2 linked regions of the Diceros bicornis minor genome follow. The protein of the gene in region 1 interacts with the protein of each later gene in a pairwise test. Links are inferred from orthologs where the notes say so. Each region holds a gene or a part of one and is shown on either strand. Other genes may lie near its edges. The genes, in order: ADARB1 and PRKRA.

Region 1 (15,669 bases):
CACAGTTGTTAGCTCAGGGCCAATCTTCCTCAGGAAAAAGAGGAGGATTGGCAATGGATGTTAGCTCAGGGCTCATCTCCCTCACCAAAAAAAAAAAAAAAATCAAATAACCACCAATAATACAAATCAACACACAAGAAAGATAACACAAATCAACACAAAAGAAAGCTATTTTAACAGGCAACTTCAAGTGACTGCTGCGGCCCTGACAGCACCTAAGCTTACCGGGCCGAAAGCAGCAGCACCTTCCCTCTCCAGGAGGTGGGAGAGCTGTCCTGGATGCAAAACTGGCATTGTCCTCTAGAACTTTAAGACAAATAACGCACAAATCAGGAGCCAAGTCTTGCTAGTCGTCTGAGTAGTACCAAATTTGGTGAATAAAGGTGCCAACTTCCAGTAAATTAATGATACTTTTAGAGACAAGTGAATTTTTTTAACAAAGAAAAACGCCATTTCCACGTGTCTTTCTGTGAGGATGTCCCAAGGTGTGTTTAGCACTGTAAGCTAATAAGAAACTAGATCCAAGGGCAGTGTGTCTTTTAGAGATACGTTTTAAGTGAATCAAGGTTCCCATGCACAGAAGTCCTGCCTTGCTCCTGAGGCCGACCTGTTCCTGCTCCTCCAGCACCCCCACCTACCTTCTCAAAGACTGTCCTCCTGCAATTACCCCCTTTCCCAACACATTATAAATCTGCCCTTCTCTACTGGATCGTTCCTATTAGCCCATAAACACGCTATAATTGCTCTCATTTAAAGAATAAAAATAAAAAACTCCCCTGAGCACATGACCTCTCCAGCTACTGTCCCATTAATCTGTCCCCTTCTATAATTTTTTATAATTTTATTTATTTATTTTTTCCCCCAAAGCCCCAGTAGATAGTTGTATGTCATAGCTGCACATCCTTCTAGTTGCTGCATGTGGGACGCGGCCTCAGCATGGCCGGAGAAGCGGTGCATCGGTGCGTGCCCCGGATGCGAACCCGGGCCGCCAGCAGCGGAGCGCTCGCACCCAACCGCTAAGCCACGGGGCCGGCCCCTAATCCGTCCCCTTTTAACAAAACTCCTCTAGATTCCTCCACCCTCAATGTTCCCCACTTCCCCACTTCCACCTCTTCTCCACAAGGCCACCTGCCTCTTATCAAAGCCAAGAGTTCCCCAGCAGAAGAAGAGGGAGCTAACCACTCCCTCAGCCCTGGATTCCTGCAGCCAGACCCCTGGTTTCTTGTTTCTCCGCTCCGGACCCCTTGCCAAAAGCCCCCAGGCTCCGTCTTCGCCTTTATGCTCTTCTGCATCTACAGCCACCACCCAGCCTATGGTTTCAAATACCATCGATATGCAAATGAGTCCCAAATTTACATATTTGGCCCCAACCTCTGTTTGAACCCAACCATGAATTTCCACGGGTATCCAAACATCTCCACTCAGATGATTAATCATAAAAATAACAAGCAAAGTAAACCCTCTTAAGGACTGTCAGGGAGGTACTATTTCAGGCACTTCACGTTAGCTGTGTTTATCGACCCAACAACGCTGGGAGACAAGTTGCTACTATTCTTCGTAATTTATGGATGAGAAAACTGAAGCACAGAAAGATTAAATAGCCTCCTCAAGATCACACATCTGGTACGTGGCGGAACAAAGATCCAATCCACGTGCCCGAGGTCTGGTCTGCGGGCTGAGGAACTGCCTTCAGGAGCATCTGAAGCCTCCCGCCACGAGCGCTCCACCCAGACTCCTGCTCTTGCCGGACTTCCCCATCTCATAACTAGCACCAGCCAACCGCTCAGGCCAAGGGCCTTGGGTCCTTCTGGGATGTTTTATCTCACAGAGAGACTACTGACAATCCTGATGGGTCCGTCTGCAAAGCATGCCCCAGTGCATCAGTTCTCAGACGTGCCTTTTCCCACATCTTAACAACCATGAAAGCGGAAGCGCCTGGCACTGGTGGCGTCTCTGTGCTATCCCACTCACGGGCAGGAGGCGAGTGTATTACTCTCGCCCTGGCACACTCAAACTCAGCTGTTACTCTCGGAGGTGACCCAACAACAGGTCAGTCAACAAATCACTCAAGGACCGGAAACCTCTCCTTAACACCTGCCAGTAAGATCAAGAAAGCACCCAAGCCTGCAGACCGGGTATCGGCAGCTGGGACAACACCCCAGAGACAGCAGTGGCTCGGTCTTAAGAAAAGCCGCCTCCACCACACTCAGTGACCGCACAGTGGACAACACAGCACCATATCAGCGCCAAGTCAAAGGCCGACTTGGAAGGACTGGATTCTGAACGGGAAGAATTTTAGAATTACTTTATTTCACTCGTATGTTCCTTTTTTATAAAAGCACAGAGCAGTATGATTTTAAAAGTCCACACTTGAAGTCTAAGAGCTCTCTCACTGAGCGTAAGTGAAACCTAAGTGACAAGAAAGCACATTACAGTCCAACTGGCAGCATTTTCCTGTTAATAGTACAAAAAACAACACTGCAACTTACAATCAACGGCATCTGACACGTGATGAAATCCAGCAAGCCGGGTCTGATCATGCCACCTCTGCACAGGCCCAGCCTGGTCACTGCAGGCCCCTGCAGTGTGGACACTCAGGCCATCCTGCCTGTGCCACAATTCTGTGGCCTCTCTGTGCCTACTTTTACACACAAGTAACACAGGAAGACTAACAGTAACACCCACCTTCTAGACTCGCATGAGAATTAAATAACACATGTAAAGCGCTTCACTGGCCTGGCACGTCACAAGCTCCTAACAAGCATTAGCTACATGACAGCCAGAGTGATTCTTTCTAAAGATAAATCAGATCTTGTCATTCCCTTGTTCAACACTCTCTAAAGTCAACTAGAAAAACAGAAAGGAGGGAAGGAAGGAAGGCACATGGGAAGGCTTCCCATCACATTGAGATTTATGACTAAATTCCTTACCACAGCCCCTGCCCCAACGAGATGCAGCCCACCCGCCTCTCCGTCTCACTTCCTGCCACCCTCCAGCCCTCCCGCCACCCTGGCCTCCCTGCTATTACTAGCAAGGACCAGGAAGCTCAGGCCCAAGGCTCTGACTCCAGAGCTCCCGCTGCCTGGCAGCACCCAGCGCCCTCCACCCTTTGAGCCCTCTCTCTGATCCCCATCCACCGCCCGGCACTTACAATGTTAGCTGGGGTTTACCATCCCCTCCTCCCCCATAATGTGAACCCCACGAGGGCAGGAACTATCCTTGCTGTGTTCACGCCCGCGTCTCCAGCTCCTAGGACAGTACCCAGCACGTGGTAAACACCTGCACAGTACCCAGCACGTGGTAAACACCTGCGGGGTGAGCTGTGAGTGAAAGAGAAGTAACCTAGAGACAAGCAGAGTTTCACTGCACTTCCACTCAAAATACCAGGCCCCTCAGAGCTACTTCCATCCACCCTCCCTGCCCCTTCTTCATTTTAAATCCATCACAAAGACATGAAACCAAAAACCAAAGTCCTTTTCCTTTGTACACTCCCAGAACACCTTACACATACAGGTGGAAAAGAGTGGCAAGTACCACTCATCAGATCACAGAAAAAATGTGATTATTTGATACTAATGGTCTGGGCCCAACAGCTGTCAAGCTATGCAGCAAGGCCACACAAAGACCTCTGTTGGCTACCACATTTCCCTGTCCACGTGCCAAATGAAATGTCACACCGGAGAGAAAAGTCACTCAAGGATTAAGGAAATCTTAATGACTTCAATGTACAATTTTTAAATGAAAGTCTCACTATCTGCCTTTCCTACCTCACATGTTATGAACACATTTTTTAAAAGATTTTTTTGAACACCACCATGTCCATCACACCAAATTACTGATTTTGGAAATTAACATTTTAGAAAACTGACACAAAAAACCATCAGGTTTTCTAATAAAATTGGACCTCTCTAAGCTTTTCAGTTTCATACTAAGATTGATAATTTTTCTTAAACAAGTTTCTTATAGCTGGTAAATGTATGACTTCACTTATTAATCTCCAAAGTGTATTTTCTATCTATCTCCTAAGTCCTTACATAGCTCATCACAGAGCTCAACGGACTAAAACTCAGTTCTTAAATAAACCTTACAGCTAAAGAATTTTGATGATTAATAAAAAATGATTAATATGTATAAAAAATATTCAGTTTGTTATAGAAAATACTAAAAACTATATTAAAACATACAACCGTGTGTATGTTTTGATTCCTGCTGGGAGAATACACAATCAACTGGTCACAGCAGTTGGAGGGATAAGAGTGGCTGGGGATGGAATGGGATGAGGTTTTATCATCTTTTTGTATCTCTGAATGTACTTTGGGCATGCTTACATTTTTAAATCTATAAATAAAAATTTTGATGCTACACATTTTTAAATTTTATTATTTTATAACTAAACTATAAGTTTTATTTTAAAAAAATATAATGCTATAAAAGTGATTAATAAAACAAAGTACCAGCTTTTGAACTGTTTTAAACTCTGCCTATCTTCTTCAGCACTGCATCCCCAGGCCTAAAGCAGGGAGGGCCTAGACAAAGTAAGCCACAGATAAGTATTTATCAAATGAATTAAGTTTTCTTTATTCATTCACCAGACAAACATAAATTTAAAGAATTTTCTTATTCCAAAAATCCAAAAGCAGTTGAAATGCCTTTACGCCATGTAAATCCACAAAGGAGTGAATCAGCCTGTGAGCCAGAAGTTTTTGTCCTTGATGTCATGAGCCAATTCTCCTCTCCTCACCTCCCAGGACTGACTTCAGGAGCACGTCGCACCTCCAGATACATGTGTCATCAACCTCTCAGAGCTGGACCAATTTTCTTTTCACCACTGCCCCCTGCAGAAAGGCCTCCATTTTTTCCTTCCAACTATAGCTTCAAATTTGTTGAAGACATGGCTGAATATACTCAGTCTCAGGAACCCCAGACATCTAGCAGGGCATTACTCACAGACAATGCATTCCTTTCAAATCCCTGTGCATCCCTTGCCTCCACCTCCAGCAGGATCCCGCACCCAGCTCAGCGTGTCTCATCAAATATTCATCTAGCCCTGTTGTGGGTGTCCATGTCCAGAGGATCTTGCCTCTGGAGGAATCCTGCAAACTCTCCTATCCAGCATGGAGCAGTATCAGTCAACCTTTTGCCTTTTTTCCTTCTTCCTTTCCCCTCTGGGAAACCCGCAGCGAGCAGGGGGCAAAGTAGTTTCAGCCCCAAAGAAAAGATAGTAATCAAAAGACATTGCCAGGAACTGCTCTTAAGACAACCCAGTGTTTTGAAAAATGCAGCTGTAAGTGGCACCTTTCAAAGGCATAAAACATACGGGCAAATTTAAGAGGGAACGAAGAGGATTACATAAACATTTCCATTCCAAAACTCACTGATCAAGGACCTTAATGACGGCACTAAGAGTAAAGAAGCAAGGTTGATATCAAACCACTTTTTGTTACACTTCCAGAACGGAACGCTAACCATTACGGTTGCGTTAAGACGCAAACAAACGCCCGTGTCAGAAGAAACAACCCAAACCTGCTGGCTCAAAACATGAACTGCGAACCAAACACAACAGCGCGGGTTTCCGACGTATAAATCCGGACCGGAACACTTTAGGTTCTCGCCATGTAAATCGGAACTCCAACACGTTTGAGCGTCCACAGCCCAATTTGACACCCTCCCTTGGACCCAACCACAACCCGGTAATTTTCCTACTGCAGATTTGAACACGTCAGAATTCACCTCGGTCCCCCAATCGCCCCAGATTGTTCCGGATCGCTCCAGACGCCGGGCACCCGCGGGAACTTCCCCACCCAGGGCCGCCAGCGGCGCACAGCATCCCACGCGGACACGGCGCCCTCGGGAGGGGACGCGAGGCGGTCCTGGGCGCAGTCTCATTCTGGGGGCGCAGCCTCCCCTCCCCTGAGCCGCGGCCTCATCCTGGGAGCCGCCTCATCCCGGGGTCGCACTCTCTCCTCCCCGAGCGCAGAGCCTCCCGCGCGGACACGGTGCCCTCCCGAAGGGTACGCAGGGCCGTCCCGGGCGCAGCCTCATCCCCGGGCGCAATCTTTCCTCCGTGGGGCGGAGAGCATCCGGAGAAGATGCGGCACTCCCGGGGAAGGGACGAGGCTGTTCCTCGCGCAGTCTCCTCTCCCCGGGGGCGCAGCTCCATCCCGGGTCGCAGTCTCCCAACTCCCCTGGCGCAGTTTTATCCTGGAGCGCAGTCCCCCCACCCCTTGGGCGCAGCTACATCCCAGAGACCAGTCTCCGTTCCATGGCGGGGCGCAGCTTCATCCTGGGGCGCAGTCTCCCTCTCCGGAGGCGCAGCTTCTCTCTGGGGGCGCAGCCTCTCCTTTATCCCGGGGCGCAGTCTCCCTCCCCGGGGCGCAGCTTCATCCCGGGGCGCAGCCTCATCCTGGGGTGCAGTCCCCCCTCCATCCCCGGGCGCAGCCTCATCCCGGGGCGCAGTGCCCCCTCCATCCCAGGGCGCAGTCCCCCCTCCATCCCGGGGGGCAGCCTCCTCTCTCCCGGCGCAGAGCATCCCGCGCAGACGCGGCGCCCGGGGAGGACACGCGGACAGTCCGGGCGCAGCCTCCCGTCCCCGGCGGCCCGTGGCCCCTCCGGACACCGCGGCCGGGCAGCCCGGGTCCCGAGGGAGCCGCACGCCCGGCCGGCCTGCCCACCTGCCCCGCGGCGCTTACATAAACGCGGCTCGGCGCTGCCCGCGTGTGTCCGGCCGCCGCGTGCGAGCCCGCCGCCCCCGCTCACCTCAGCCGGGCCGCTCAGTCCGCTCCGCACGCCGCGCCGGGCACGGGCCGCCACTCCGCGGGCTCCCTCGGCCGCCGGGGCTGCGGCGCGCTGGCCGTGTCCTGGCGCGGCCCCGAGCGCGGTCCCGAGCGCGGCCAGACCCGCCCAGCCTCCGCCTCGCCCTCAGCCTCCGAGCGCTCAGCCTCAGCCTCAGCTCGGCCACGGCGCGCTCCGCCGCCCCCGCCCCCGCCCGGACGCGCGCACGCCGGGCGCCGCCGCCACGCAGCCCGTGCGCGCGCACGCACGCCTCGCCGAGCCCGCCGCGGTCCGCGGGGTCGGGAGCGCGGGTCGGGGTGGGGCGGTCGGAGGGGGTGGTCAGGGTGCTGCGGTGGCCGGATCGGTGGACCCGGCGATGGTGGGGCGCGCGGACCCAGGAGGCCCTCTTGGCTTCCCGCGGGCGGGGTCGGGGAGGCGGGCGGCGCGGGGGCCGAGACCCCGGGAGGGCGCCGCGTCCCCGCCTGGAGGCCGGTGTGAGCCGGGCGTTCGCGCGCTCCGGCTCGGCCGCCTTCCCGGAGAGCGGCGTGGAGCCGAGGCCCTGCCTGTGCGGTGGAAGTCGGGGTCCTGTTTGAAGGAGAAGGTGGGGTCCGGGTCCCCAGACTCCAGAGGTGCCCCCCCTACCAACATTTCTGTGTAGACCTCTCAGTGGGATCAGAAGCAAGTCCACATTGCCGAAGTTAAGGCGCTGGTTGGGTTGGTGGGGTTGAGAGGAAAGACATTTTAAAGCTTTTTTTACAGTGTATGCAATAAACTTACTCCTCTATCTGTATTTACTGACTGTTCCACGGTTATACCAGGAGATGTTGACACGCATGACGGTAAGCATGTGTAGAAATGTAACATTTCCGAAGACCAGAACAACCAACCCAAGGCTGCAATTCTCTTCAGAACAGAAAATAAAGTTTAATAAGGAAAAACTATAGTTTTTGAGTGCGGGTGCTGAGAGTGGAGGAGCCGGGACAAGCCAGGCAGTGCTCTTGGCTGTTGGTGATTTACTAGGAGGACAACAGGGTGCAGAGAGGGCTGGGGCCTGGCAAGCCTGGGGTCTCCGCCTGCACAGGGGCCCTGGGAGAGGCCAGACTCCGAGGTCAAGTTCAGCTGCTGCCACTTCTCAGCTGTGGGGCCTTAGTCATCTCTTGGCATCTCTGCCTGTTTCATCATGTGTAAAATGGGGAAGAGAAGACTAAGACAGGTGAAGAGCCCAGTCCAGAGCCTGGCATGTGGTAAGCACCCGTCCGTGCTAGCTACTACTGTTAGTCCTGGAGTCCCACAACAGAGCTGAACACCCCTGAAAAGTTCGCTGATCGAAGCATGAGTTAACCACAGGGGAACGTGCTGCACAGGCTGGTTACCTACTTCAGGTTGCTGTGTGGGGGAAAGGAAAAACCTGTCTTTTGGGCCAGCCAGCTCCCAGGCAAGCCCATCACCCTGCCTGAGGGCCAAGCGCCAGGTACAGAGTCCAAAGGGGTGCTTGTTGGCAACTAAGTAAAAATCAAGACTCCTGGGATGCCCTCTAGGGGTTCATCCTTAATAAACAAATATGTGCATGAGGACTTGATGTCTATTTCTGTGTAACAAACCACCCCAAAACCAAGTGGCTTAAAGCAATCCTTTAATTGCTCATGATCCTCTGGGCCAGCAAGGGGGGACGGCTCGTCTCAGCTTTGTGGGGTGTGGGCTGGGCCCGCTCATATGGGCCGTGGGAACCAGCCATGTGTCACCCACCGTCCACAGGCTGTCCAGGGCTGCTTCTCATGGTGGTACGACTTTGTCAGCAGCAAGAGGGAAGGGAAAGCTCGGTGCACAGGGGTTTTCCAGCCTGCACCGTGTTTACTAAAGTCCCATTGGCCAAAGTAAGTCAGAGGGCCAAGCCCTGAGTCCGTGCGGGAGGAACTGCACAGGGGTGTGGTAAAGGGACGCATGATTCACTGAGTGCCGTCACTGTGGCCATCTTCTACAGGCCTTCGTTTAGTATCATTTACCAGGGAAAACAACATAACTGCCCTTCCATCGGAGCTGGTAGTGTCGATGTCATCCTTTGTCCCTCAGCAGCAGAGGAGAGAGCGGACGTGGCCGTGACCAGGACCTTCATCTGCTCCTGCTGGCTGGCTGGCCCCTTGGGCTGCTCTGGTGACAGGCGAGGAGCCCCCGGGGTGGCCCCTTGCTGTTAGTCTTCCTCAGACACGTCATCTCCAGAGACAGGTTTACCTCGGCGTCCTCCCTGACCTGGCAGAATGGCATGCAGAGCATGCCTCTTTATGCTGATTTGGGGCCAAGCCGTGGGGCGTTACCAGGTGCCTGGGAGCACCGCTGCCGCCGCTCAAGTACCTGTGAGGCCGGGTGCTTTGATGAGGGATCCTACAGCCTCCTATGGAAGGCCCACCTGCCCCTGTCCACCATCAATGCCAGACGTCTGGGCGCCCAGGATGGGCCCTGGGTTTCCACAGAGGTGGTGGCAGCTGTGACTGTGCTGGCCAGCCACGACCTGGCCCTCAGGACACAGAGCAGCATCCAGGTGTAGGCCCCCGCCCCACCCCCAGACGCTCGTTCTGTTGGTTACCTCACCATGCCAAGTGTGAAAATAAAGTATCACTCTGAGTCCTGGAAAACGAACAGGACGCTCAAATGCTCCCCTTAGGAATCTAGTGGTCCCCTCTGTCTGCCCCAGTGACGTGGTGTTAGGTTTTACACAAGAGTATGAAACTTCAGCCGCTGGGGAGACACTGTCTACACAACACCAGGAAACTGCCTTGGCCGAGGTTTTCCTTCAGCTGAATTAGCTGGCATGACCATGCAGCTGGAGCCCACAGGCAGAGTTAGGAATTACTGTAGGCACTGCAGATGCCTCAGGACAGAACGGTACAAAAGCACTAGTAATGACCTTAGGACATAGACCGCCAGTGGACCAGGAGATGGAGGGTCGGCTGGATATCAGACTGTGGCCCTGGGAGCCCGTTTGGGAGCTGCTGGGAGGAGAGGTGAGGTGCCCAGCTGACTGCTGACAGAGGGAGCAGCTCTGCCTTCATTTACATCCTAGGCTTTCAGACCAAGGATGTGTTCAAGGCTTACGGGTACAGAAACCACTCATTCGTCACTGCCCAGCAGAGGGTGGCCGCCAGAGGGGTAAACCACATGACCTGAGCACAGGCTGGTGGCCCTGAATCTGACCCGGCTGTCCCGGCTTGGCTCTCTGGCCCCTTTCTAGGCCCTGCCACCCTTTCTGCTCACACAGGGTGACAGCGTGATCCCATTACTGCCTCCACTTGGTGAGCACACTCCCGACCTGTCCTGCTGAGACTGCGCCGGGATCACAGCCACAGTGCCTGCCGGCCTGTGACGTATGCACCTGTGGGAATTTCCATCATTTAACTCCAAGGACAGCCTTTTCCTAGGCCTTTTGAAATCCATTTCCCTGTGGTCCCTGTGCACCACCAAAAGTGTGTCTGAGAAAACGTGCACTGCCTGTTTTATTTCATTCCGCCCTGTCTGTTTGGGAAAGGGCACTCACGGGTACTTTTAGATTGTCGTCTAAAAGTAGGTTATTGATTTCTTGGTTTCTAAAAAAACCAGGAAGATAAAACTGCTAATAAGAAGATAAAATTGTAATGTAACCCATACACTGGGATACATTTATTTGAGACATAATATTTTTTGTCCCATATTTTTAAGAAGCCTGAGACTGGAGTGATAAAAACCAGATGGTACTAAACCTTCTCAATCACCTCTTTTGGGAGCAGACACCTTGCATGGAATCTGCCCAGCTCACAACATGCCTGCTTCTCTGGGGTCCCCCAACCCCCACAGTGATCCCCCTGGTGGAGAGATGGACCAGGAGTGGCCTTGTCTGTGCCCTGGAACATTGACTCACCTCCCACTGCCCAGCTCCAGGGGATTTCACTGGGAATGTGGAGCTGGCACTGAGACAACGCTGTATCTCTCTGTGTGCCCAGACCTGAAACGCTGAAACCAGGGTGGTTAGGGTGGTCTTCATCACTTGCCGTGCTTACCTATCAGGGGAAGCCGGCCTGACGTGAGAATTATGGGGAGACAAGAAGAGACAGGACGTTGAGAACATTCTCGTGGCTTTTTGGTGCCTTAGGCAGTGTGTATTGCGCAGGGGTGAGCAGGGATGATTAGGATGACGAATCACTTTCCAGTTGTTGGGAGTCGAGAGGTGGATGGGGAAAGGGTGTGGTGCCGTGTGGTAACTGGAAGGCAGTCTAGTGTGAGGAGACAGGCATGAGGGTCGAGCAGGGCTCACACCCCACTCCACCACACAGTGTGACTGGACCAGTCGTCCAGCCTCTCTGAGCCTGTTCTCCATCCATGAAAGGAGACAGTTATGCCCACCGCACAGGCTGGCCCGGAGCCCCACGTGTGGATGGCTGCAGTGTGAAGAACGTGGGTGCTGTGGCAGAGGGAGAGGTGTGCAAGTGCGTGGGTCCAAGAGCGCAGCCCGCCCTGCTCAGGAGAGGACAAGGCTCCTGCAGCCACAGCCTCTGAGCCGAGCTTTAAGGATTAGGAGGCGTGGGTGGTGAGGGTGCCCGAGGCAGAGGGAGGAGGTTTCCATACCACATGGATTCAAAGGAGGAGAGAGGACTTCTCCGTCAGCATTTCTGTCAGGAGAGTCATCCTGACTGGACTGCTCGGATCTCCCACCCTCCCTAAACCACTGGCAAAATGGGATGTGCTGAGTGCTTCAACCAGAGGCGTGGAGACCTGAGGTGGGCTGTTTGTGTACAGCCCACAAGCTCAGAATGAATTTTACATTCTAAAGCTTTGGGGGAAAAGGAAGAATATGTGACAGAGACATATGTGGCCCACAAAGCCTAAAATGTTTACCATCTGGCCCTTTACAGAAAAAGTGTGCCAATCCCTGGTTTAAGCCAAGTAGGGCCTGTCCCTGGAGCTGGGACTTAGACCCACTCCTGTCAAAGTACACAGAGTGTCTGGGGGAGGGAAAGAAATGCACACCAAAATCAGGGGGCCATTAGTGGGGGACACTGGCTTGTTAGGCCACCAGGGATGTCTGCTCTAAAGCTAGCACACTACCCAGGTGAGGTGCTGATGGCCTAGCTCCAGTGGGAACAGTGGAGGTGGAAAGAGTTAGGTTGTTTTTGGAAAGAGACTGGATAAGACTTGGTGATAGATTGGGTGAAGGGGTGTGGAGGGGGCAAACCAAACCAAGACGCAGGATTCTGGCCGTGCATGTTGGAGGGTGATGGTGCGACACCGAGATGAACAACGACCAAAAGAAATGACTGGGGGTGGGGGGAGCCAGGAGTCCCTTCTGGTTGATGAGTTTGCAAGGCCTGTCAGATGTCCATGTGCTGTGTTAGGAAGATACAAAGATTGGTGTCCAGAGAAGAGAGCTGTGCTGGGGTACACATGGAAAACCATGAAGATGGAAGTGATTGCCTAAAGGGAGGGGAGAGACAAGGAGAGGACTTGGGCCAGACCCGAAGACCTTCACCCATTGGAGTGGGGTACAGAGGGGGTGAGCAGAGAGGGCTGGGGAACCCTGACAGGTGCGAGAAACCTACCAGAAAAGAAAAGGTAAATCGGAAAAATGACAAGTCCAAATAGAGCAAGGACAGAAAATTCAATGGATGTGACAACACAGAGGTCATGGTGACTTTGAGAACTCAGTGGAGTGTTGGGGACAGAACTGACTGAAAGAGGGAACACTCTCCACCTCATATTATGAGGCCAACATCATCTTGACTTCAGAACCTAGGAAGAATGCCTAAGGGAGAAAAAGCATGCACCAACCTCACTCATAAACAAAATCTAAATAAATTATCACAAAATCCTAAACAGAACACTCAGCAAACCCAAATCCAGTAATGTAAAAATGATAACAAGAACGTTATGACCAAGTTGAGTTTACCCAAGAATGTCACTCTGGTTTAACACTTTAAAACATATTAATGTAAATCAGAAAACACCTGTGTGATCATCTCAATAGATGCAGAAAAGGCTTCTAATAAAACCCAGTGACATTCACGTTCAGAAAAACAAACTCTTAGAAAACTAGAAATAGAAGGAACTTCCCTAACCAGATGAAGGGTGCCTACAAACACCTGAGACAAACATCAGACTGTGGTGACAGGTAAGGAACAGTCCCTTTAAATCAGGAACAAAGCCAGACGCTCGCTCGCTCCACTCCTGTTCAGCACGTAATGGAGCCCAAACCACAGAGGGTGACATCACAGTGGAATAAAATCTATGAAGGCTGGAGAGGAAGAAGGAATACTTAATCACAGGTAATACGATTACATAGCAGAAAATAAAAAACAATTCACAGGTAGACTGTTAGAGTTAATAGAATCTAGCAAGGTGACAGAGGATAAAATCAACACCCCCCTCCAAAAAAAAACCAATTTCTGTACAACAGCAACAAACATGTGATTTAGAAAAATGAACCTGTTTATAGTAACAACAAAAATATGAATGAAGAATAAATCTAACAAAAGAAGTGTATGCTCTTTAAGGAGAAAAAATATTTTTTTAGAGCAAGAGCAAGTGAATGTGGAGACACACCACTTTAATAAAGAAGAAGACCTCAGCACATGAAGGTGCCACTTCTCCCCTAAATTACCTACAGACTCGATGGAATTCTGATACATCTTCCAACAGGGATCTTTACACAACTCGACTGATTCTAAAGTAGATAACAGGAAGGAAAAGGATCTAGAAGAGCCAAGACTTTTCTAGAAGAAGCGGCAGGCGGGAGTTTGTACCAGCAACTATCAGGACCTACTATTACATTATAGTAAATCAAGCCATTTGTTATTGGCCCACGGGTGGACACACTGACCACTGAAGGCAAATAGAAAGTCCAGAAACAGACCCACACATATTTTGATATATGACAGAAGAGGCATATCAGTGGGGAAAGGAATGACTTCAATAAATGATGCTCGGACACACGTTTGTCCATTTGGGAAAAAATGGGAATTAGGCATGTATCTTACACCCTACCCAAAACTCTGTTCCACGTGGATTAAGGAAAACAAAGCTTTTAAACTTTTAAAATATAGACAAATATCTTTATGACCTTAGGAAGGAAGAGTTTCCTAAGGTACAAAAAGTGCTCTCCATAAAAAGTAAGATTGATAATTTGATCATATTAAAATTAAGAACGTCTGTTTATTAAAAGATACAATGAAGTAAAAGACACAACAAATAAGGAGAAAATGTTTGCAACACATATAACTGTCAGAGGATTTGTATCCAAGATATATAAAGAACTAAAATCCAATAAGAAAAGGCAAACAACTTAATAAAAAATGGACAACAGACATGAACAGAAGAGGAAACATGTATGGCTGATAAGCCCATGAAAAGATGTTCAACCTCATGAGTCACAGGAAAGTGCAGATTCAGATCACAATAATCCTGTTTTACACCCACCATACAGGCAACAGTTAGAAAGGCTGACAAGATCAAGTGTTGGAGAGGATGTGGATCACCAGAACCCTTGAACATTGCTGGTGGGAGTATTATTTGCAACCACTTTGCAAAACTTGAAATTGAGTATAAATAGGTTGGGGAGGAGCATGTTGGTGAAGGTGCTGGAAAAAGTCTCAGTCGTGGGTGGGGTGGTGAGGAGTGAGGGGTCATGGATGATGCTCTATAACTTACATGTATGTTACATATAACCTTTTGATAAGTCAAATAGCATATTAAGTATATTTTAAACCCTACATTTAAAAAAAAGAAGAAAGATGGGCAAGACAGAGAACCAGGGAGAAGTCCTCCGCCAGGTCTCAAGACTGATAAAGCTGGTATCCTAACCAGTGTGCGCACGGGAACACACGGATAAACCACTCTGGAAATGATGTGGAATCTTCATGTGAGGGGATGTAGGTCTCCTAAGAGCCCGCAGTCCCTCTGCTAAGCATGCACCCTAAAGAAGCTTGCATGTGTTTCCCAGGAGACGTGTCACAGCAGAGTTTGCAATATGAGAGCCATGGCGAGGGCGACATGCCCTACATAGAGGCGGGGGCTGCGTGAGGGTCACATGGGACGGTGTGTGGGGAAGGGTTAGTGAGGAAGCTGATTCTCAGTGGGGAGGTTGGGGCAATGACATCACACATGGTTGTGAGGATTAAATAAAACAAACATCTCGAAGTTCTGCAGGACTATGAATGTTAGGGATTGGTGTTGCCAAACGCCCGCAATTCTTTGTGGGATAAATGGGTCTACAAGAACATATAAACCAAACAAAATTAACAGCTGCACCAACTTCTTTTGAATGGTTGGAGATTTTTTTATAAATCAGATGCTAAAACAGTATGGCTCCTGGGAACATATACTCTGAAATAATGACTAGAACCAGTAAAAGGAGCTTTTCTTTTTTGCTGAATTATCTGTTAATTATTATGTTAGCAGTCTTTCTTGAGAAGCCCAAAGGCAATTAGGAATTGAAGCAGGCACAGGAGGGAGGAGGGCAGGGACCATGGGAGGGACCCCGGCTCCCTCTTCTCTGTCCTCCAGGAGCCTTTTCAGAGAGGGCTGGAGGCTGAACACGTGCCTAATGAAAGTTTGGTTAATGACAAATTAGAGGGCTCATGTGGTTATTTAAAGCCTTCTCTCTGGGGGACTTGCAACTACCATGTAGTCAAGATCCTGTAGTTTGCAGTTTTAAACTAGAATTCTCAGGGCCCCAGACGACTGTTACATGTGAGTTACTAGGACGTGCAGTAGCTGTGAATGGTGCTGTGAAAAGGGGCCATCATACGTGTATTTCTAAACATTTGTGTTGGGGTGTAATATGTGTACAGAAAAGTACCCATATCATAAGCATATAACTGGATGAATTAACCCAAAATGGACACACCCATAAAACCTTCTCCAAGGGCAAGAAATAGA
Region 2 (15,767 bases), on another chromosome or scaffold:
AATTTGTCCATCCCTCACCACACCTCTCCCTTGTTCAGAGACTGTAAAATCCTTGATGGTAGGGCCTATGTCTTACTTACCTTCATAAGCTTTGTAGCACTTTGCATATAATAGGTGCTCAGCTAAAATGTATTTAAATAAAATATACTATATTATAACTACATGAAAAGGGAAGACTGACTATTAGTCATGAAATTTAGCGTGGCAATGTGAATAACACAGATCATAAATACTGTTTTTTCATCTAGAGAATTATGGAAGAAAGATCTGTTTGACTTATCATTTGCTCTATGCAAATGATCCCCCTAAGATCATATGTACCCTGCATAAAATAGATGGCCTACATGAATCTGGTTTCAGCATGTGGGAATCGTGATTAGGAAAAAAGAGAACAATCTCCTCTAAGTAGCCTGAAACTACTAGTTACTTGGGTGACGGGTCCCTAACACTGACACCTAGGTCACTGAAGAGTCATTTCTTCCAGGACAAATGAGGTTTACTTATGGCCACTTCCCTAAGTTTCTAACTGCCAGAATTTCAAGCTTTACATAGGCTGATGAGATACGAATATTCACTTACAATGCGCACGCCGAAGCTACCCAAATAATTGTGATGGAGAAGTGAGAAAGTCTCTGTATTAAATCAGGCCACTTTAGGCCTGATTACAGCTTAGTAATTCCCATCTTATCTGTCAAGAAGCACAAATATATAGTAAAGTGTGTTAGCGTTTTTTGCTGACAAAGTGAAGTGCCCAGGTGCAGGAAGGACACGCTGTACACTCATTTCTACGAATATACTCAACACTTTGGGTTGACCTCTGGGCTCCACAGAAACAGCATGGCCATCACCAGCGAGAGGAAAATCCAATACCTGCCATGCCATTTGGCATGTCTGGAAAGCTAGCATAAATCAAGTATAATGTATGACCCTAGAGAATCAAGCATCATTTTATAAGATCCAAGGCTTATCACTGGTTAGTTCTAACTACCAAATGGTTTAGAATGACTTAGAAAGGAGGAGCACTGCACGAGAGCCTACATACATCTCTAAGCCAAAAGTTTTGCTACGGATGGGGAACAAAACACCATCCTAAATTCCCATGGGCTTCTGCTGTCAGCTATGAGCAGATTATAATCCAAGTCTATCTGAGTGCATGTAAAGAAGAATTTAAAGGCACTCCATGTTGTAGGGTGTACCCATTAGAAACCAAAGGACACCACTTTATGACACATGAGATGCTCCAGAACCAACTCTCTTTCCCAAAGCACCTAGAATAACAAATTTACTTTGGAAAGATATGTCAAGAATTAACATCCCACTTAACATCCTCTGTATTTGGTATACATCCTACAATAAAAGGAAATCTTTTTGTCTCCTTCCAAATTAGAATTCCTAAAAGAGTACTTTCAGTTGATCTTTTTCCACCTTGTTTTCTTTAGTGTAGAAATAATTAAAGTCTTAATGCAGTAAGATATTTGCCAGAAAAACTCTGCTTTGCTACTGTCACAGCCCATCTACAAAAAAAAAAGCCTAGTTCGTGAAAACCATTTAATAGTTACTTGCTGGATTTAATTTAAGGATAAAGTTGTCTTTAATGGATGATAGGTTTTCACAAGGAAGTAGAATTTTCCAGCTAGATACTAACAACTGTTCACTTTGTTGCTTTTGTGAGCATGTTCAAACTTTTAATCTTACCTCAGCCATGATATTTTTGAGCTGCAGAATACAAAGAAATTTAGCTCACCAAATACTTGCATTGGCTTTCAAAATGTTTATGGCAGCCTCTGCAGCTCTGTGTTTCGCCAGCTTCTTACTTGTACCTTCACCTGAATTAAGGTTAAAAAAAAAACCTTTATATGCTGTGAAAATGTGAGGCTTTCACATAATGCTTTTCATAATACAAAATAAAGTTACTACAGGTTTTATATATACACACTAGGTAATAAAAACATAGACTACATACAATTATATACTGTAATAAAATATTCACCACAAAAAATTAACACATTTAAAAAAACCGTGATTTTAGAAGTTCTACACATTTAACTATGTATACCTATATAAAGAATTCTTATGTCTACATTATATATGTTTATACACAAAATGGTAATAAAGTAGACCATGTCACACCTTCTAAAGAAATGCAACTTAGTATTTAACCCTTCCCTTATCCCTAGAGAGAGAGAATTCTTCTGAAGCAAGAAGTTTCCTTTAAGGGAGCCACTTACAACACTGTCTGAGAGTAGAATGTGCACAATTTTATTCCAACAGCCCATCCTCTACTGCATTAAACCCCTCTGATTGGCTAAGCAGTCATGGCCACATGTTGGGAACACTGGGGAAGGTCTATATAGGGAAGAAGGTGAGAGCTTATGTTATGTGTCTTCTATACAATCTGTATCTCTTACATGGGTAGCTAACGGGGTGGCAGGAGACGGGCCTTACTAACCACTGAGACTGATGCCTAACTGCAGAAAGCAATCACACCTGGTAAATGGTAAATTCAACCTTTTTCCTTCTGAGTTCAAACCAGGTGTTGAGAACCCTCTGAAAGTGGTATGAGAATGCTGATGTCCATTCCTCTGGTGTGGAGGAAAGAAAGGGGACATGGAATAAATTTCAAGTGTGACCCTCAAGTGTCAGAGGACACACAAATAATACTCATTCATCCACTAACACGGGTATTAAGGGTACAGCAGAGAACTAAACACAGTCCCTGCCCTTAAAGAGCGCATAGCCTCGTGAGGGATTTCGTCTGTAAACAGGCATCTGAAACATGGAGTAGTATGTGTTACGACAGGCCTCAGTGCAGGCTGTAGGAGGCACATGAAAGGCGCAGCTCCCGACTCTTGGGAAGGATTCAGAAAGGTTTCAAGAAGGAAGAGGTAACTAAATGGAGACCTGAAAGATCAGTAAAAGCTAGCAGAGTGAAGAGAGCTGGGGGTTTGGAAGAGCATTCTAGACAGAGAAAAGACCCCTGCCAAGGCTCAGAGGCAACACAGAGCAGGGTGTGCTCAAGAGCCCCAAGTAGGTGGGTACAGTAAGAGCCCAAGGGGAGGAATTTTCAGATAAAAGGCGAGAGAGTTGGACGGGAGAGGGAGAGATTAAGGAATAGTATCCTAAATTTGTGTTTCTCAAATTTAACGTGCATAGGAATTGCCTGGGAATTTTGTTAAAATGCATACTCTGATCCAGTAGGTCTGGCATGGGGCCTGATATTCTGCATTTCCATCATGTGCCCAGGTGATATCAAGGCTGCTGTTGATCACATTTTGAGAAACAAGGTTGTAAGTCATGTTAAGAAATTTGTATTTGTCCAGAGGTTGATGGGAAACCACTGACTGGATTTTAAGAAGAGAAAGTACATGAACAGATGTGGACGCCAGAGAGAACACTCTGGTTGTCCTGTGGAGAATGGACATCACAAGACTAGAAGCTGAAAGAGCAGCTACAAGACTGTAGCTATATTCCAAGTGGGAGATGACAGTGGCCCAGACGGTAGCAATGGGAAAACGAGAGAAGCAGACAGATGCAAGAGATATTTAGGAAGTAGGAGATGGTGACAGTCTGGACAAGGAGAAGGAGTCAAGAAGATGAAATACAGATTTCTACTGTGAGAAAATCAGTGGTGGTGGTGCCTTTACTGGGTTGGGGAATGGATGTGAGAAAAAAGAAGATGGATTCAGTTTGGGACAATGAGAGACTGAGGTGCCTTTAGGTCATCCTAACAAAGATGCCCAGCAAGCACAGGCTGATACACTGTTCTGTAACTGGGCCTGGGCTGAAGATAGAGATTTCAGAATTATCGGCCTTTAGATAGTATTTGAAGCTGTGGAGGCAGATAAGCTTGCACAGGAAGACAGGGCAGTGTGAGAAGGGTAGGGGGCCAAGGCAGAATGGTTACCATAGATTGTTAGGCTCCAGTCTAAAACACACTGAGGGAAAAAAGGCTACTTTTTCTTGAATTTTCACTGAACACTTAAAAATAGACCAGCTAAAGCACTAATGCAATGCTGATTCTATGGTTCATATGAGGAAACTTCCAGCTGGCACCTACAATCCACCTGCCTCATATAAACAAAAAAGCTTCAAAATTTTCTTAAAGTGGCTTCAATGAAAATAGCGGACTCCAGCTTTTCAGGGACACAAACAAATGACGGCCTCAGATGACCAGATGGTAGAACTTCAGCCTTCCTGCTGAATTTTTTTCTTGGCATTATTCCAAATTAAATTTAGTATTCAATATTTTTTATGTTTCAATTAAATAAGATACCTAAGAAATAAAATGTCTACATTTACAAACGGGCAACTTCAGTTGTCAGTTGCTCAAGTTCACAGACCATAATAAAGTTGAGTTTGAACTCTGAAACTTCGATGCTATGTGACTTTGGGCACATTACTTATGATCTCTCTGAACCTGTTTCCTCATGTATAAAAAAGAGATAACGTATTAAATATCTGTATAGTATCAGGAACTAGAAGATGCTATGCAATATAGTGTAGTTGAGCCTTCTGCCTTCCTCATTTTGCTTGGATACAGAATCGAGTGTGGTGCAAGGGGCCCAAAGTGCCTAGTGAGTCTAAGAACCTTTCCTGCTTCTCCCTAATTCTAGGAAGAACCATAGGAGAGTCCTAAGGTATGTTTCTGAGCTTGTCTTGGTATCTGGGGAAGAGAAAATTAGGGAGAGAATCAGATGAACTTGGAAAGTTCCAATGACCTGAGATGAGAGCTCTCAGTTTCAAGAGGCTGCTCCTCACCACTGTCTCAGGTAAAAAGGGCACTTTTCCGAACTGCAAAGCAATACCAAGTCTTGACCGCCAACCCGCCTGGTCATCTAGGTTAACTGCATACAGACCTGTGCAGGTTATGTCACCAACGGTTACTCTGAAGGTGAAAGTGGGCACGTGTATTTGCACATCCGATCTTTCACATTCATAAACCGGGATGTTCTTGGTCTTCATGCCGTATTCGTGTAATACCTGAATCGGTGTTTTCCCTGGCTTAGCTGTAATCATCTTCCCCAAACTGCAAAAACCAGAAAAAGGTGTGCTTTGCATGCCAAAGCGGAGAGGGAGGCAGAAGCAGACAGGGGCTAGTTCTGATCGTTATCCACGGTGACGCGGGAGGAGCCGAAGGTCCCAGGCGGCCAGGGCCCGAGCTGGCGAGGCGCACCAGCCTCCCTGCCCCGCTGCGGCGGGCACCGGGCAGCGGCGGGCAGGGCGAGGGAGGTCTTTAGGGGGCTAACTCGAATGCGCGAAGGAGGGATTCGTAGCAGAATAGGGCAGGCACCGGCGCTGCGACCTCTGAGGACCAAGCCCACAAATGCCTTTCTCAGGGTGGCGGCCGCGCGCCACCTCCGCCCAGCCCGCGCACCGCCCGGGGCCGCAGGAGGGGCGGGGCCCGGCCGCAGACCCCGGCCCGCGCGCCGCCGAGAGGGCGGGACCGAGCGCCCGCCGGTCCGCCCGCAGCTGCGGGGGCGAAAGCGCCGCGAAGGGGCTTTACCCAGAATGCCGCTGGAGAGCCGGCTCCCCCGCCCCCGCGTCTCTTGCCCACCACTCCCGGCCCTGCCGGCTCGGCCTCGACTGCCCCGGCGCTGACCTGAAGGTCCCGCTGTCCTGGCGCTCCAGTGGTGGGGCCGCGGCGCGATGCCTGCTCTGGGACATGGCGAGAAGGGACGGCTCGGCGGCCGGAGGAAGAGCAGTGCGTGGCGACGTGCTGGCTCCCCCGGTCGGCCGGTCCCCGAGAGAAGCGCTCCAGCGCCACCGCCGCCGCCTCCCCTCCTCCCACTCCTCCTCTCCTCCCGCTTGCGTCCCTCTCGCGAAGGGGACGGGCGGGGGGGGAGGCGGAGCCTCGGTGTGGCAGTGCCCGCCCCGGCTCCCGGCCACGCCCCCTCGCCGCCCTGGCTGCGGGCCCTTCTCCGTGCCCGGCCCCGCCCACCGGCTCAGGGTCTCTCCGGCTCCGGCCCCGCCCTCCCCTCCAGACCCCGCCCTCCCCTCCAGACCCCTTGGCCTCCCCGCCCCGGCTGTCCTCAGCTCCTGCCCGCGGCCCTCCCTTCGGTGCGCCGGCTTATCGGCGCCTGGCCCGGCAAGGCCGTAGTTCTGTGTCCTTAAAAGGAGGGCGTTTCTTGCCCGGAGAGAAGGCTTGTCCGGCGGGCGAGCCTCACAGTGTGTGAGGCCTGAAGCTTAGACCTTTTTTTTTGGCGGGGGAGTTAGGGCGTAGGATGAGGGCTGCGTCACTTTAAGAAAAAGATTTCAAAATTCCAAATGCAAAATTGCTAGAGACACTCCCCGGGCCTGGCCCCGAAGCTTGAAACTGGCGGAATATCCGCTCCTGAGGGCTGCGGTGGCCCTCAGGAGCTTTAGGAGCTCGCGAGGACATCTGAGACCCCACTCCTCTCCCGCCAGGTGGGCTCCATTGTCTTCTAGGTTTTGGTCGCGAGAAGAATGCTGAGCCACCGGATCCCTACAAGACATATTACGTGTAGACGAAGGCTTCTTATGGTACCTGATTCCAATTAAATGTTGTTTCTGCACACCTGTGTTGTTGGTTGTAATGGCGTTTGCCTGGGATGCACCACTTTTGGTGGAGGTCAGACAGCGACATTAGATGTATCGCTTTTCTAGGGGTTTGCTAGCCACTTGCAGAAATCACTTCGTGTGCTTTCTCGGTGTTCTGGAAGATTGCTTTGCCCAATGGTATTGGCAGGAGGGGCTATTATTAAAAACTTTTTTTTTTTTGGTTGCACGTGAGCCCTGGATGCTTGAAAGTAAATGAAAAAAATGTCTAGAATCTAGTAAAATTGATTTATATTATTTGAGGCTGGAATTAAGCCTATTCTCTCTTCCTCCCCCTACCCCCTCAATATGTGTATGTATGTCGATTACTACCCACTAATGTTATGTTTTAACAAATATCTTATTTTAAGTACCACATAGCCACTATTTCAAAATATATTAACATCCACATAACTATGGCAATACATTATTTCAGCACTCAGGTTTGTTTCTAAAATTTGTTTTTATCCACAAAATTCCTTTAAAAACAAGCCAAAACCTTATATAGCTCTTTTTAAAGGTTGAGTAACTGGGATAATAATCATGAAACAAAAAGAAAATAAATGCAGCAGGACCCCGTTTCAAAGAGATGTTGTCTATGTGCCAGCTTCAGAGTAAGAAACCCAAATGTCAGTATACAGTTATGTAATGCGGCTTTCATTTAGTATTTTACAAAGATCTGCATACAATTGTTTCCTTATATTCTATGAATTTATATTTTATATTAATCACTTGGTTTTGTAAGCATACAGGGAAAATGAATGAAATGCTCAAACAGTGAACTGTATACCATAAGGATTCCAAACAGCACTTTTCTGTTGCCAAAATTGGCATGATGGAGTTGTAAAGGAGTTCCCTTTGGACTAGGTCCACTGTAGATGGTGTCCAGGGCTAATGTTAGTGCCTAAATTGCATCGTTCCCCATAGGGCTATATGCTTCCCTCAAGACTGGCAAACCACTATCAACTGTGACCCTCATCAAAGACATTGGTAATGTAATTATTAGTTTTCTGTGTATTTTAGTGCTATAGACTGCAATTCCAAATTAGACTTGCTTTTAGTATATCATTTTACACCGTTGATCTATAATTCATTACCTGAGCACGCCAGGGGAGGCGGTGTGTGTGGATTGTACACTGGTAAACTACTTGGTGAAACTATACTTTGTATTTTTAGCAGGTATAATTATATTTAAAGTCAAGCAAGGCTTAGTTTTGTGCCTGATTTTCTTTGAAAATATGGATTTCTTATCTGAGGGTTGCAGTTGATGATGTTTTAATACTATGTTAATATGTTTGCTGCTGCTACCAAGAGCTTTGTCAAACAAGTTGGAGATGGAGGGAGATTAGTTCCTGTTCCAAGCCTCAGTGAGGCTGACAAATACCAACCTCTAAGTCTGGTGGTAAAAAAAAAGCGATGCTTTCTGTTTCCTAGATATAAATTTACCTCAACACCTTTTACACTGAAAGATGTTCTTCTAGGAGACAGAGAAATTTCAGCTGGTAAGTTTAAATGTCTGTTTGGGAGGGACTAATTCAGCTATATTATTGGTGATCTAAACATAGATTGTATATACTACTTATGTTCCTAATATTGACACATTTTCATTGATAAAAATAACTTTTATTACTATGGCAGTAATAATACTAAGATTAACAATGCCTAAAGTTTATACAGTATCACATCTCTTATTAGTTGAATAATTTTCAAACCTATTTTGTAGGATTATTGTATAATCTTATTTTAATTATTTTGTAAATTGTTTTAACCAAATCAACTTAGAATATGACATAATATAATTCTTCATCTATAATATGGGGTATTGTTTACTCTTACCTATCTCACATGATCAAATGAAATGAAAGTAATTTGCATTTATTTTTTTATGATTCAGTTATTACAGTTGATAAAGTGAAATGTATTAGAGGCTGGATTAGAAAATAAATTGACATTTTGACAAATTATTTCTTATAAAAACTTGGTGTTCTTTCAACCGCCCATTGGATCTTGATGCCTAAGAAGTTCTGTTGGCTGAACATAGAATTGAGTTCATTTTAAGTACTCTGGCTATTTATTTCTTTTTGTTGTCAAATTAATTAAATTGCTATTTTTAATTTTGGTTTGAAATGTTGCCTTCCTCCACATTTGAGTAATGGAGTCTTAAATAGAAAATTAACGTGTTACTATATGTAATCTACGTTAGATGAATTCAAGACATTTAAAAAATATTAATTTCCTTTTCTTAAAGGTATTTCGTCTTATCAGTTACTGAATTATGAAGATGAATCAGATGTCTCACTCTACGGAAGGAGAGGCAACCATATTGTGAATGATGTTGGGATTAACGTTGCTGGATCAGATTCCATTGCTGTAAAAGCTTCGTTTGGTGTAGTAACCAAACACGAAGTGGAAGTATCAACGTTACTCAAGGAGATCACTACACGGTCAGTATAATAATCCTTAATATACTTCACTGTTTTCATTAAATATTTTAATTACGTAAACTTCATTACAAAGAATGCTTAAAACATTCAGGTTGTATTTTACTAATGTAATTTATTTGTTTGATTTGTTTGAAATATTACAAATTAGTAATATATGCAAACTTTGGTAGATATCCACAATCATTTGGTTTAAACAGAATTTTTAATTGTTCCACAAAATGGCTTTGGCTCTGCACGCATTTGCTAAATTATTGGATTGAAAGAATATAGGAATCTGCTTGCAACAAATATAAGAGAGTCTCCTCCAATACACTCCTATAACAAGCATGTTTTAAGAAAATAGAAAGGAAAAGCAGATTATTAAATGTCTTTTGAGCTTACTTTCTGATTTGTATTAGGCCTGCCTTGATTTACTTTTAGTTAAGGTGGACTGTGCATGAGTAACACCTGATAGCAAAAACTGTATTTGATTATATGTAATTAGATGTTACAGATTCTTGTGAACGTCTCTCTTCTTCATTTTAGAAAAATTAATTTTGACCATAGCTTGATACGTCAGTCAAGGAGCAGCAGAAAGGCGGTATTGTGTGTGGTCATGGAGAGCATTCGAACCACACGACAATGCTCACTGTCTGTGCATGCTGGCATTCGTGGGGAAGCCATGCGGGTAAACCACACTCATTGGGCTTCTCTTACTAAAAAGCTGCAATGGGAATTTTTAAAAAGTATTCAATTTCTAATGAGATGTGTATTTTGTCAAATGTTGAGATTCAAGAGCTGCAGTTGTATATAGGATTTTCCACAGTAATGGTTTGTTTTAGAATATGAAAAAAATCCAAGAAAATTTGGATTCTAAACATGTATAGTATAATGCAAACAAAACACCAATCCTTGTGAAATAATGTGCATATTGGAGTTCCTCCTATTACAATTTAAATGCTGTTTTAAGAATAATAGTTGAATGCTTATGTTGAATTCTTTGATTTTATTTTTAGGTGATTTTTAGTTTGTACTTGAATTTTTAAAAGTTGAATTTATATATATATATTTTTGTGTGTGTGTGAGGAAGATTAGCCCTGAGCTAACATCTGTTAGCAATCCTCCTCTTTTTGCTGAGGAAGATTGGCCCTGGACTAACATCTGTGCCCATCTTCCTCTACTTTATATGGGACACTGCCACAGCATGGCTTGACAGGCGGTGCATAGGTGTGTACCCGGGATCTGAACCTGCGAACCCTGGGCCGCTGAAGCAGAGCACACGCACTTAACTGTTACGCGCCACTGGGCTGGCTCCGAATTTATATTTTTAATTAAATTAATCTTTCTAAAATAATATTGTCAATGGGAAACATGCTTCATTCAATGTTAAATCCTTTTTAAAAGATCTTGAAGGTTATTTGTTTAATTTTTAGCTCAATTATGATACTGTTTGTCCTTGTCATTTACATAATAATGACACAATAATGACTTGATTGGTTTTATTAAAACCAATTGCTAGAAAGATAGAGTTCAGTGATCATCTTTTTAAGTCTTTGCAAATAGAGGTTCTGTTCACTGGCTACATTTAGCTGCCCACCACATTGTTTATCATTGGATTATTTCTTGGGCACAAACTGAAACATTTACTTAATTGTTGGTGATTGCTTTGGAAAATAAGTTGATGATTGCTTTGGAAAGCTGCTGAAAGCTCTGGGGGCTTTGGAACAGTAGACAAGGTAAGTGAAAAACCACTGTAGCACTTAAACTCACTGAGTTTGCAGTTGAAAGAAAAAGAGCTTCTATGCCAGAGAGTATTACTGTTGTGGTAGCACTGATCATTGGCTCCAATACCAAAGTAAGTGAGAAAGTGGTGAGTGGCATTTCCTAATATAGATCATGAGTCCCCATCAGATCAGTTGGACCTCTGCTATAAACAGTTTAATTCAAGTAGGATAATTCTTTACTTGGAGTGGTGGTTTTTTTTTTTTTTTTGGTAGGATTGTAGGAAATATTTTGTTTCTCCAAAAAGCTATCCTTATATGTTATGCTTCTTAATAATGTTATTCAATTTACTTATTTAATATAGTTTCATTTTATGGATGAACAGAATCCCAAGGGAAGGGACAAAGCCATTGTTTTTCCAGCACACACAACCATAGCTTTCAGTGTTTTTGAACTCTTCATTTACTTGGATGGTGCCTTTGGTGAGTGAATGATTTGCATGAAACACTGAAATGATTATATTTTTAAGAAGAATTTAATGGGAAACTCTCTCTCTCTCTCTCTGAGTGTCTAAATATAGAAGAGTGATGCTCTCAGCTGTCAATCTTATGCTTGGATGAAGTAGCTGGGAAAGACCTTCTGGTCCCTGCTTACCCAATACCTCTTTCCTGCTTCTTGGTGAAGGCTGTAGTTTCCCTACTACCCCACTTACAATCATAGATAAGAGCTAAAACGCAATCCACTGACAAAGTATTCCTTGACTTACATGGGGAGATAATAAATGACCTTCTAACAGGTAGTTTTTGATGAGGGCAAATAGAGGAGTAGGTAGACAGTAAGATGCCTGAAGGTGTCAGGGTGCCCAAACTAGGGTACCCAAAGACAACTTTTCTTCAGTTTTACCTATCACAGATCCAGCTTCCCAATTCTCCCTAAGAAATAACTTTAAAAGTACAAATACTTCTTCCAAAATTGTCAACTTATATCATACCTCAGTGCAGTTCACTTTAGATTTCTACATTTCGCAGGTCTGTAAGATTAGGAGCCCAGTCAGTTCAAGGATGGACATAGCCCAAGGGACTAGGCAAGGGAGCCCCCTAGCTATGGTAGTTTATAAACATTTTTAGACCTGTTTTTGTTTGTTTCTGCAGTTCTGTGGGAGGAGGGAATAGAGAGTACAGAAACAAAAAAAACATGCTGATTAAATTCTATTTGGGACACTTCAGGTGTAGGTTTTTACACATATTGATTGTCAGTAGGAGTATAAACTGATAGAACTGATATATCCATCAGAATTTAAAATGTGAATATACTTTAGCCTTACTTACACTTTTAGGAATTTATCCTACAGATATACTTACACAAATGTGAAATGATATGGGTATAAGGATATTACTTCATAATAGGAAAAGATTGGAAATAATCTTAAGATCTATTATCAGCAACTAGGTAAGTAATGGTGCGTCCACAACAGAATACTAGGAAGCCATTGAGAATGAGGTAGCATTATAGATGCTGACATGGAGTAATCTCTAAGAGATATTTTAAATAAATAGGCATAGTATGTAACTATTTGAGCCTAATTTTATATACATGCATACATACATATCCTTTTATGCTTGTACAATATATGGAGTATTTCTGGAAGTACACACAAGTAACTTAAAAGTGGTTACCTCTAGGGTGGAAAACTGAGGCTGGGGTCAAGGTAGACTAGAGACTTATCTGTCACTGTATCCCCTGTGTGTATTCTTTTAATTTTGTACCATCTGAATGTTACCTTTTCCAGAAATATGTAAAATTTAACTTAAAAAAATAAAATGAATGGCATGTACCAGAATTCATCAACCACAACTAAAACTCCCAATAAAATGAGTTGTACAAGTTATAACATCTTCTAAAATTTTTTTTATAGACCTTTGTGTCACTTCAGTGTCAAAAGGAGGATTTGAAAGGGAAGAAAGAGCAACGTTTGCACTGCTCTACAGATTGAGAAATATACTATTCGAGAGAAGTACGTCCATTGAAGAGTGTTTCAAATGTATTTTTTTTCTTCTCGGATTGACACTTGAGGTTATCTATTCAATAATCCTGTCTGTTAAGGAAAAATTTAAACTTAAAAGCTACATAATTTCTTGAGCGATGGTTTAGATTCACGTAGTGTTTATAAATGCAGATTGGTTATATGTTTTTTGTTTTGACTTCTGACACATTTCTCTGTTTTTGTCCTTTTAGACAGAAGAGTGATGGACACCATTTCTCGTTCACAGCTTTACTTAGATGATCTTTTTTCTGACTATTATGACAAACCCCTCAGCATGACTGATATTTCACTCAAAGAAGGGACACATATCCGAGTTAACTTACTTAATCACAACATTCCAAAAGGACCTTGCATACTCTGTGGAATGGGGAACTTTAAAAGGGAGACGGTTTATGGGTGCTTCCAGTGTTCTGTCGACGGGCAGAAGTATGTGAGACTTCATGCAGTTCCTTGTTTTGATGTCTGGCACAAGAGAATGAAATAAAATGAAAAATGAATGTACCTGGCTGGTGTTTTAGGTGCAACTATGCCACAGACTTGTTCCAAAGTTACATAGGTTCACTTTTATGAATTGTGGCAAATTAGGGAGAGGAGAGAGAAGTTAACCTGTCTGGGTATCATTTTCCTCATCTATAAGGTGCAGATCATAATAGTGTCTACCTCATAAATTGTCATGAAGACCAATGATATTGTTTATATATTATAATTATATTATAAAAAGGTTTAAATATAAAATTCAGAATATAGATGTTCCTTCATAAAATCCGCCAGTCATTTCAGAAATATTTTTGGGATTTAGTCTATCGTTTTAGATAACTTTTTACATAGAGATTGTTCTAAATATCAATTTTATTTTTAATTCAACATTTAAGGGTGACAAGAATGCACAAGTAGCGACTTTATGGTGCTTTAAGTATTGCCCTAGGTCTGGTAAAATGAGAAAAATGTGTTAATAATTTAATGTAATCCTAAATGTTTAATTGCAGTATCAAATTAAAAGCACAGAGCTCAGTGTGGGGTTTTGTGTACACAGTTAACAGGGTGACTGATAGTGATCAGTCACTATCAGTGACTGCCATTCTGTGGCAGTCATTCTGTGATGCCATTCTGTGATGTACATATGCTGGCTAGTTTTGTCTTTGTAAAACTGACTACTGTCATTTTAAAGTTAAGGCAGCTAGTACACGTTTATTTCTTTTCTCCTTTGAAAATGTTTAAAACATTTAACGTATTTAGTTCTGGGAGATCTTTTTCATCTACTCTGTAAGACACCTGAATTTTTCATATACAAACAACTTAAACTAAATTATTAATTTGCTATATACCCTTATTAAAATAATTGCAAAAATAATATGTTAAAATTCTAGAACTCAAAATGTATACTTAAAGCACTCACTATGAGGTATACACCTATGAAGGTATAAAGCAATTGTGTAAATATAAATACATGTATACTATATGTATGGAGAATGATTAAAATTTTATTTTTTAATTATTTAACTGTTGATTCTAGTTTTAGAGTAAATCTGCCTATTCATTTAACTTCACCTATAGTTTTTCATAATTTTATTTATTTATTCCCCCAAAGCCCCAGTAGATAGTTGTATGTCATAGCTGCACATCCTTCTAGTTGCTGTATGTGGGACGTGGCCTCAGCATGGCCGGAGAAGCGGTGCGTTGGTGCGCACCTGGAATCTGAACCCGGGCAGCCAGCCGCGGAGCACGTGAACTTAACCGCTAAGCCACGGGGCTGGCCCTACCTATAGTTTTTCAAAACATAAGTTTAAAAGCGCTTTGTATGAAAACAATGGGACAGAAAGGTTAGAATTATAAATAGTTTCTATTATAGGATAGTTTCCATATCTATTTTCTTTCACTGTATTTTTGTTTTGGGTAGCATATATGATTTGAATGCAATATGAGTATACTGATCAAAAAGGCTCTAGTGACTTTTTTATATGGATATAGAGAATGAGGGCAGTTTCCAAACCCAAACGTAAGAATACTGAGTTATCAACTTAGTTTTACTTCAGCTATTCAGGTTTTTCTGAGGGAAGTAAAGGGATGAGAGAGAGTTGATGATTGAGCAAGTGAGAAGGAGTTATAAACTTGGGTACAGGAATGAAGAAATATTGGGAGTAAGAACAGGTTTTTGTTTCATAAAGTGTCAAATTCTGTGCTGTGCGTATGTGAGAGCCACTAATCTGGTGGGTTTTGTGTTACCCCTAAACTTTTAAATAATAGAATTTCTAGCAGTATATCTAAAGAGGTTAAAAGATGAACAATTAACAATGATTTGAAAGAGCAAGTTTCAGAAAATGGAAAAACCTTTGTTTTCAACTCACTTGTTTTGAACAGAGCAATTTACTGCCTGACCATACTTCCTTACATACACAGTAGGGCAAATCTTACATGTTCCAATAAATATGTGCCCTTTCTTTGGCACCAATGTGATGATCTACAGCATCTCTTACCTCTTATTCTCAACAAGTGGTACCACGTCATGATTTGACTGTGACACAAAATTGCCATAGCACTGTATATCCTCATTTGTATCCTATTTGATATCCTTACAATCCTCATGTGTAAAATAAATTCTATACATTTATCAAAAATTTGATGGCATACCAGTTGGTAATGCTCATTCATGATTAATAACAAGAACATTGTGAAATAAAGTAACATAGGATAGACACACCTAGAGAAAGGGAACTGGAAACTAAGAAATACCATGGCATCCCATTTAAAACTATCAGGACAAAAAGTTAGGGATGGTAGATATAAAGGCCTATGAGAAGGAAGAATAGTGGCACATTTATAATGATGTCTGAAGGAGTACAAGACTCAGCAGTATAGACTTTATTATGCCTGCTATAAGAGACATAAAGGCTTTGGTTTGATCTTTAAACATTCCCCATTGGGGCCAGCCCCGTGGCTTAGCGGTTAAGTGCGCACGCTCTGCTACTGGCGGCCCGGGTTCGGATCCCGGGCACGCACCGACGCACCGCTTCTCTGGCCATGCT

Evidence for each region.
Region 2: the proteins of ADARB1 (region 1) and PRKRA interact in binary tests that used the Homo sapiens proteins (3 or more experiments, as listed by UniProt). The link is inferred for Diceros bicornis minor from reciprocal best matches to the Homo sapiens genes ADARB1 and PRKRA.

The regions. Positions count from the first base shown.
Region 1 is NC_080766.1:44,480,645-44,496,313, reverse strand, and holds the start of ADARB1 (double-stranded RNA-specific editase 1), read right to left. Parts: upstream 6,845-15,669; 5' UTR 6,757-6,844; intron 1-6,756. UniProt on the Homo sapiens protein: Catalyzes the hydrolytic deamination of adenosine to inosine in double-stranded RNA (dsRNA) referred to as A-to-I RNA editing.
Region 2 is NC_080749.1:58,882,825-58,898,591, forward strand, and holds the start of PRKRA (interferon-inducible double-stranded RNA-dependent protein kinase activator A), read right to left. Parts: upstream 5,780-15,767; 5' UTR 5,665-5,779; coding exon 5,600-5,664; intron 5,027-5,599; coding exon 4,857-5,026; intron 1,827-4,856; coding exon 1,745-1,826; intron 1,737-1,744; exon of another isoform or gene 580-1,736; intron 1-579. Other genes in the region: PJVK (pejvakin), read left to right, coding at 7,847-8,057, 8,804-8,999, 9,525-9,666, 11,065-11,182, 12,616-12,714, 12,936-13,228. UniProt on the Homo sapiens protein: Activates EIF2AK2/PKR in the absence of double-stranded RNA (dsRNA), leading to phosphorylation of EIF2S1/EFI2-alpha and inhibition of translation and induction of apoptosis.